Linked DNA regions of Mus musculus. The protein of the gene in region 2 purifies or fractionates together with the protein of the main gene of each other region. This does not show direct contact. Links are inferred from orthologs where the notes say so. Each region holds a gene or a part of one and is shown on either strand. Other genes may lie near its edges.

Region 1 (4,317 bases), on a different chromosome or scaffold from region 2:
GGGTGAGACCGTCTTCCCTGTGGCAGACAACAGGACCTATGATGAAATGGTAAGGGCCAGTGAGCTGTTATTACTCTTGGGCTGGTAGGGCCTTGGGCAAGTGTGTACACACCCTTCCAGAGCTGGGACGAGGGCACATCTGCCTGTTTTCCCTCCAGCCAACCTTGGCTGCCTGGTCCTGCAATGGCAGGCAGTCCACAAACAGCCTCACCTTGTTGCCTACAGAGTCTGATTCAGGATGATGTCGATCTCCGGGACACTCGAAGGCACTGTGACAAGGGCAACCTTCGTGTCAAGCCCCAGCAAGGAACTGCAGTCTTTTGGTACAACTACCTTCCTGATGGGCAAGGTGAGGGCTTTACTCATGGCCAGGTCTTGGGCTTCTCTGAGGGAACTCATCTCTCCCTCCTGCTCTCCTGGAGGACTGTTCCTGTCTTCCATAGCCAGGGATTTCAAAGCACAGTAGCACTAGTACAGTATCTTCGGTTATCTCCGCCCACCGTCCTTGCGCACCAGCCTTCCTGCTGTCTGGGGCAGGGAAACTTCTCTCCACAACCCAGGCTGGGAAGAGCTATAGCCAAGCTCAGAAGCAAGGAAGCTTGGTTAATTTTAAGGGCCAGTATGTTGACCATGCCTTAGTGGGTGAGACGCCAAGTCCTTCCATGGGGATTAGATGTGTGCACAGCTCAGGCTGAGCCAATCTAGGGTTTTCCCCTCCCTAACTTGTCCTTTGTTCATGTCACCTTCTTACCCCAGGCTGGGTGGGTGAAGTGGACGACTACTCGTTGCATGGGGGCTGCCTGGTCACCCGCGGCACCAAGTGGATCGCTAACAACTGGATCAATGTGGACCCTAGCCGGGCACGGCAAGCCTTGTTCCAGCAGGAGATGGCTCGTCTGGCTCGGGAAGGTGGCATGGACTCACAACCCGAGTGGGCCTTGGACCGAGCCTACAGTGATGCCCGTGTGGAGCTCTGACGCAAGGCCCTGATGCGAATCACCCGCTGCCCAACGTCAAAGACCCTGCAGGTCCTCTGTCCTACTGCAGACTGAAGTTCTGGCCGACCTCTTGCCCTAGCCCTCCCTGCCTGCAGCCGCGATCAAAGGCGCAGTTCCTACATTCACGTTATTTATTGGTGTACAGCCTCCATGCTGCTCCGTTAAATAAAACTACAGGGCTTCCAGCCAGGGGCCGGCGAGCTAAGCGCCCGCTTGGGGGAGGGGAGGCCCACCGCCCCTCCCGGCTAGTCTCATGTGTGTGTGTGTGGGGGGGTGACTCTGATCCGGCCAATCAGGAGCGGGATCGCGTGGGGGACAGGGTCGTCATTGGACGTCCGCAGCCCAGCGCCAGGGCTTTGCTACCTGTAGCTAAGGGCTTCGGAGCTCTGCAGCGCGGCTCTCCAGACGGCTGGTTCTCGCGAGAACGCAGCTCTCTTCTTGTCCGTGGCAGCCACAGCAGCTCCAGGAACGTCATGGACGCTTTCGGGGACTATGTCTGGCCGCGGGCGACTTCCGAGCTCATACTCCTCCCGGTTACGGGTCTGGAGTGTGTTGGGGACAGGCTGCTGGCGGGTGAGGCTTGGTCGGCTCTAGTCGTGCTAGCGGGCGAAGAACTAGCCTCTCCCTGGGTGGTCGCACCGGACAAAGGGATGCCCTGGGGAGGAGGATGGGCAGCGGGCTGGGGACTGGCGAGGGGTGGGAGTGGGGGGAATAAGGCAGGTTCGGAGGTGGCGGGAAACACAGGCCGGCGGAGGAGGGCGGGGCTCGAGAGACAGTGGCAGCTCTTCATAAATTGCAGCCAGCTTGGAAAGGGTGGACAGAGACGCTTGAAGGTGTGGGGGACGCAGTCGTTCCATGTTGGGGGAGGGACGTTGCACCCTCAGGTGAACGCAAATGATCAAAACCCCTGGAGAGGAAGAAAAAAAAAAAAAGGGCAGCCTCAGGGGGTGTGGCGGGAGTGTGGCTTCTGGAGAGGGTTGAAGCTCCGCCCCCAAAGATGAGGGGGCCAAAAAATTGCTTTCTGAGTAGAGCAGTATCCAGAGAGGCTGGGGCTTAGGTTCCTCTGGAGAACCAACTGGGGGGTCTGAGCCAACTGGGTTAGTAATCACATGTCTCAGTGTCTGGTGGTAAAGGTCTGAGATGGCTCTGAGGTGCCAAGTGTCCTGGAAGCAGTAGGGCCTGATGCGAAGCCATCCTTTGGTGATGGTGGTGTTGGGTTTTACAAGGACCCTTGGCACTGACAATTAGGCCTTGGGTCAGCCATTATTAGCCTCAGCAGGGCTGCGTGTTTGTCTTGTGGTGAGGGTATATTCTAGAGTTGATGTGTGTGTGTGCGTGTGCGTGCGTGTGTGTGCAAGTGCAAACATTGGGTTGCTCCAGTGAGCTAAACTCTCTGGAGGTGGGACCGGCAAACTTCAGGAAATGAAATCCGTAGAATTTTGAAGAAAGAGACATTAAGAGAGGAGTAAGGTAATGAGGAATCCTGACGAGTCCGAGGAGGAGGAGATCGTGGGAAACAAACGGCTGCAAGATGACCAAAAGGGAGCTGAGAGTCCCATTCTAGAAAACGTCTGTGGGTTCTATACACATGTATGGGGGTGTAAGAGATTCCCCGGGAAGTATGTGGATTTGTATAGAGGGAGGCCCTGGACAAGCCCCTCTTGAGCACAAGTTAGGAATGTTCCTAACTCAGAAGACGCTAGCTTTGATTCTGCTGTGTTAAATGCTGTCCAGGTTCTTAATACCTGCACCTCATCTCTCCTCCCAAGCCTTGTTGCTTTTAAGTCTCAGTCGCATACAAAGGACGATCTCACAGCTGTCCAGGGGTGGGGCCAGAATGCAAGCCTCACCCCTGCCTGCCAAAGTGTGGGCAGCTTCAGCACGCATGCACACACACAAACACACACACACACACACACACACACACACACACAAAACCACATACCTACCCACCCCATCGCCTCTGTTGAGCCTCAGGGATTAGACTGATGAAGGATGCTGATGGCTAAAGGGTGCAAAGGTCGACACAGCCTTTTCCCTAAGGGAGGGAGAATCTGGAAAATGCATGCAGAGGCAGGTGGAGCTGAGAGTTTGGGCTAGAGCAGAGCAAGGGCTTTCCATCTGAAGTGTAAGGATGGTGTGCACCAGAGGAAATCCTAGTGACTGTCATTAAGGGTGATGGATAGCCAGGCATGACAGCATACTGCCACAGTCCCAGCAGATTCGAGGTTGAGGCAAGAGGATCTTGAATTCAAGGCCAACCTGGGCTCTCTGAGAGAACCTTACCACAAAAACGAGTGACTGACAGGAGTGTGCCTTTGCAGTTGAGGTCCGGCTGAAGTGGAGGCACGGGTTTGGTAGGATGCTGTGTCCTGGTATATTCTGAGTCTGTATGCTAAGGAGTGGCCTGCTCCACTCATGCGTCCTAGGATCAGGTGCGTGCGTGCGTGTGTGGTGCTGATGTGGCTCTTTACCTCTGTCTAGGCGAGGGGCCTGATTTACTGGTGTACAACTTGGACCTTGGTGGGCATCTCCGAATGGTGAAGAGAGTCCAGAACCTGCTTGGTCACTTTCTCATCCATGGGTTCCGAGTGCGACCAGAGCCTAAAGGAGACCTGGACTCTGAGGCCATGATAGCTGTGTTTGGGAGCAAGGGCCTCAAAGTTGTGAAAGTCAGCTGGGGTCAAAGCCATCTTCGGGAGCTCTGGCGCTCTGGCCTGTGGAACATGTCCGACTGGATCTGGGATGTCCGCTGGATCGAGGGTAACGTAGCCGTGGCCTTGGGCCACAACTCGGTGGTACTGTATGACCCAGTGATAGGGTGCATGCTGCAGGACGTCCCCTGCACAGACAGGTGTACCCTGTCCTCAGCCTGCCTGGTTGGTGACACCTGGAAGGAACTGACCATCGTGGCTGGCGCGGTTTCCAATGAGCTCCTGATCTGGTACCCAGCCACTGCTTTAACAGACAACAAACCCGTGGCCCCTGACCGGCGGGTTAGTGGCCATGTGGGTGTCATCTTTAGCATGTCATACCTGGAAAGCAAGGGCCTGCTGGCAACTGCTTCAGAAGACCGAAGTGTTCGTCTCTGGAAGGTGGGGGACCTCCGGGTGCCTGGGGGTCGGGTTCAGAATATTGGCCACTGCTTTGGGCACAGTGCCCGAGTGTGGCAGGTGAAGCTCTTAGAGAACTATCTCATCAGTGCAGGAGAAGACTGTGTCTGCTTGGTGTGGAGCCACGAAGGCGAGATCCTTCAAGCCTTTCGGGGCCACCGGGGCCGAGGTATCCGGGCCATAGCCACTCACGAGAGGCAGGCCTG
Region 2 (3,808 bases):
TTTATACCAGAAGACTTAAATGTGGGTAACTTGCTAAGCCATGGTCAGAAAAGGATGTCTCCTAATGGCTAGACTAAGTCCACCCTACTACAGAGCAGCTGGCTTCTTCTATTTCAGGTAGTTTTAACCTTGAATTCTGCTGTGCCCTTTTCCCTGCAATGTTCTTCCCCTAGATAAACCCACAAGTCCCCACACCTCAATCCCCTCCATGGTTTCTTTACCTCAGAAAGGTCTTTTAGAAAACATGCTTGCTGGGCAGTGGTGGCACACGCCTTTAATCCCAGCACTTGGGAGGCAGAGACAGGCGGATTTCTGAGTTCGAGGCCAGCCTGGTCTACAAAGTGAGGTCCAGGACAGCCAGGGCTATACAGAGAAACCGTGTCTCGAAAAAACAAAAAAAAAAGAAAACATGCTTTTATTTTTTATTTCCTTTTCTCACAGGATCTCTACATAGCCCTGGCTGTCAACTTGCATGTAGACTAGGCTGGCCTTGAAATAGCAATCCTGGTGCCCCTGCCTCCCACCTGCCTGGCTAGAAAAAGACTTTCAAAATTCTAAACTCCTGTCTGCATTCTCTGACTTCCTCCATTTTGTTCTACTTTTCCTGCCTTCCATAGCCAGTATTCCTTTTACATGTGCAGCCATGCATTTCAGTGACAGGGCGTCTCTGTGGGAAATACACCTTGGGTGTTTTTGTTATTGTATAAAAATAAGCCGGTATCTTAGGAGACCATTGTTTCTGTAGCACACTGTACACACAGGCAAATACAAATTACAACGTATAAATCCCGGCTCTTTGTCTCCTGCTGGTTCTCTAAACCCAGAGTGCCTGCAAAATATTCATTCAGTAAATATTTATCAACCCCCTCAACAGGTAGTAGCGAAATGCTTCAAGTTCTTCAGACGCTCTCTGCACATTCATTTACTGAGAAAAAACAAACAAACAAACAAACAAAACCAAAACCAACTTAGCAGTGGGGGCCAGGAGCTGGAAAAATGGCTCAGTGGTTAAGAGCACTGCCTATTCTTCCTGAGGTCTTGGGTTTGATTCTCAGAATCTACATGGTGGCTCACAACTACCTGTAACTCCAGTTCCAGGGGACCTGCTACCATCTTTTGGCCACCTCCATAGCTCCAACTTTGTTTTTATTGAAGATAGGGTCTCATGGAGCCCAGGCTGTCCTCTTGGACATACAACTTGGTATAGAGTTGTGGATGACCTTGTATTTCTGAATGTCTGTGGTGGTTTAAATGAGAATGGTCCCCAGAGGCTCATATATTTCAATGCTTGGTGCCCAGTTGGTAGAAGTGTTTTGGGAGAGATTAAGAGTTACAGTCTTGTTGGAAGAGGCGTTGTCACTGGGGACAAATTTTAAGGACTCAAAGGCCCAGGTTATTACCAGTAATCTCCCCCCCCACCCCCGTTTGTGTCTGCCCCGTGGTTTATATCTCACAATTACTAATTACAATTACACCAGAGCCATGCCAGCCTACTGCCATGCTCCCTGCTACGGTGATCATGGGCTCTGCCTCTGAAACTGTAAATCCCCAATGAAGGTTCTCTTCTATAAATTGCCTCGGTCATGGTGTCTTATCACGGCAATGAAAAAGTAACTAAGACAACTTCCTACCACAGGATTACTGGCATGGGCTACATGGTACTGGGGCTCCGAGCTCTGTCTGTTCCAGACAAGCATTTTACTAACTAAGCTACATCCCCAGCTCTTAATTTATCTGTTTTATTTTCTTGGCAGCATTGAAGATGGAACCTTTTAACCCTTTAAAGATTTTAAAAAAATTGTATGTGTATGAGTGTATACCTAATAAATAAACTTTATTTTTTAAAGTCCCTGGGTGGTGGCAGTGTTTGCCTTTCACTCCAGAACTCGAGGCAGAGACAGGTGGATCTCTGATAAGTTTGAGGCCAGCCTGCTTTACAGAGCTAGTGTTAGACAAACCCTGTTTCAAAAAAAAACCCCCGTAAAACTGTACTGAGGTCTTTTACTTTTTGAGACAGGTTTTCGTGTAGCTCATGCTGGCTTCAAACCTGCTAAGGATCTGAGGATGCTCTAGAAACTCTGCTGCTTCTATTGTATCTGCTGGGTGCTAAGATTACTCTGCCTCGACTTTTATGTGGTAGCTAGAGATTGAACCTGGGTTTTATGCATTTTAGGTAAGCACTCTACAAACTGAGTTATATTTTCAACCCACTGAGGGATTTCTTTTCTCTTCTTTTTTCCTTTCTCCTTTCTCCTTTCCTTTCCTTTCCTTTCCTTTCCTTTCCTTTCCTTTCCTTTCCTTTCCTTTCTCCTTTCCTCTCCTTTCCTCTCCTTTCCTCTCCTTTCCTCTCCTTTCCTTTCCTTTCCTTTCCTTTCCTTTCCTTTCTTCCTTCCTTCTTTCCTTTTTAACAGACAGGGTCTCATTATGTAGCACTGGCTGGCCTGGAACTATTCAGACCAGGCTAACCTCAAACTTGTAGAGACTTGCTTGCACCCCACCCCTCCAAGTGCTGGGATTAAAAGTGAGTGACACCATGACCAAACTATTTTTATTATTTTTAATTGTGTGTTGTGTGTGTGTGTATGTGTGTCCTGGGTGTGTGCTTGTGAATGTAGGTATCCTGAGAGGCCAGAGATGTCTGCTCCTGTGGAAGTCATAGGCAGTTGTGAGCTCCCACACGTGGTTGCTGGAAACCAAACTCAGATCTTCTGCAAGGGCAATCCTTGCTCTTAACTAGAGAGCCAGCCTGCAGTCCCTATTCAGATTGTTCTTAAAGGTACCCTTTACTTGAACTTTAGAAGGGGAAAAAAGCAAATTTACCTTAATGTGTTAAGGTCAACAATGAATTTCATTGTCTTCCACCTGCCAAAGAAAGAGAAAAGGAACTCAGCTATTTGGCTACATTTTTCCATTTGTCAGTGGGCTGAGCTAGGGATTCTTAAAGAGATTGCAAGGCAGGAAAGGACCAGGAGAGGGAGTCAGTCAGGACAGAAACGGGCACACTGGGGAGATGTCATGGTGGGCTCAGAGGTACATATCCATACCTTGGGGTCTAGCAGGGTATGGATAGCCAGAGGCTGGGGCAACTTGTCCACACTGTTGATGGAGCATTCTTGGGGGAGGAGTTCCTTGGCCAGCTGTCCATTCTTCTTCAACCTGCAGGCCTCTTGGTATGGGGGTGCGATGGGGGGCTGTGTGGGTGGAGTATATTTGTACTCAGAGCCACCGTCTAGCTGTAGGACACAAGAGATGATGAGGATCTGCCAGTCCAAGACAATCTCCTGCCCCCTGCCCCGCTGGCTGGACACTCACATCCAGAGAGTAAGTGCGGTCCGAATCGTAGGCGCTGAGGTCCCCACAGGCCACAAAGGGCACAATAACACGGGTGGGACCATCCAACTGGTTGAAATCTGTATCTTAGAAAGAGGCAGAGTGAAGATACAGTCTACACCAGCACTGAAGTCCCCCTCCCCACCATCATGGTCCTTTTTCCCTCTGGTGCACATTCCCTTCTGATCACTGTTGCTAAAATGTCAGCCTGTGGCCTGGCTTTTTCACTGTACCATGCCCGCTCAGCGTTTTACCAGTACATTCTACCTTGTCTCATGCAAATAGGATCTACAGAGACAGGTTCCACCTTTGCCTATCAGGTTAGAGGCTACAGACTTCCACAGGGGACATGTTTAATACAGGTGAGCTTTCTACCTGAGGGGTTCCCTAAGGTAGACACTTAGGATCTTCCCTGGGTGAATGCTTAGTTTGCTGCAACAGAATTTCTACCAGGACCAAGGCTACCATTGGAAGACTA

What was found.
Region 1: the proteins of Ftsj1 (region 2) and Wdr6 purify together in Homo sapiens (affinity purification with mass spectrometry; 3 studies listed by BioGRID and IntAct, with this or other methods). This does not show direct contact. The link is inferred for Mus musculus from reciprocal best matches to the Homo sapiens genes FTSJ1 and WDR6.

Annotation. Positions count from the first base shown.
Region 1 is NC_000075.6:108,575,748-108,580,064, reverse strand, and holds the start of Wdr6 (WD repeat-containing protein 6), read left to right. Parts: upstream 1-1,351; 5' UTR 1,352-1,471; coding exon 1,472-1,571; intron 1,572-3,482; coding exon 3,483-4,317. Other genes in the region: P4htm (transmembrane prolyl 4-hydroxylase), read left to right, coding at 1-49, 226-349, 757-977. UniProt on the Homo sapiens protein: Together with methyltransferase FTSJ1, methylates the 2'-O-ribose of nucleotides at position 34 of the tRNA anticodon loop of substrate tRNAs. Required for the correct positioning of the substrate tRNA for methylation.
Region 2 is NC_000086.7:8,242,240-8,246,047, forward strand, and holds part of Ftsj1 (putative tRNA (cytidine(32)/guanosine(34)-2'-O)-methyltransferase), read right to left. Parts: intron 3,417-3,808; coding exon of another isoform or gene 3,411-3,416; coding exon 3,313-3,410; intron 3,234-3,312; coding exon 3,045-3,233; intron 2,863-3,044; coding exon 2,836-2,862; 3' UTR 2,821-2,835; intron 1-2,820. UniProt on the Homo sapiens protein: Methylates the 2'-O-ribose of nucleotides at positions 32 and 34 of the tRNA anticodon loop of substrate tRNAs. Requisite for faithful cytoplasmic translation.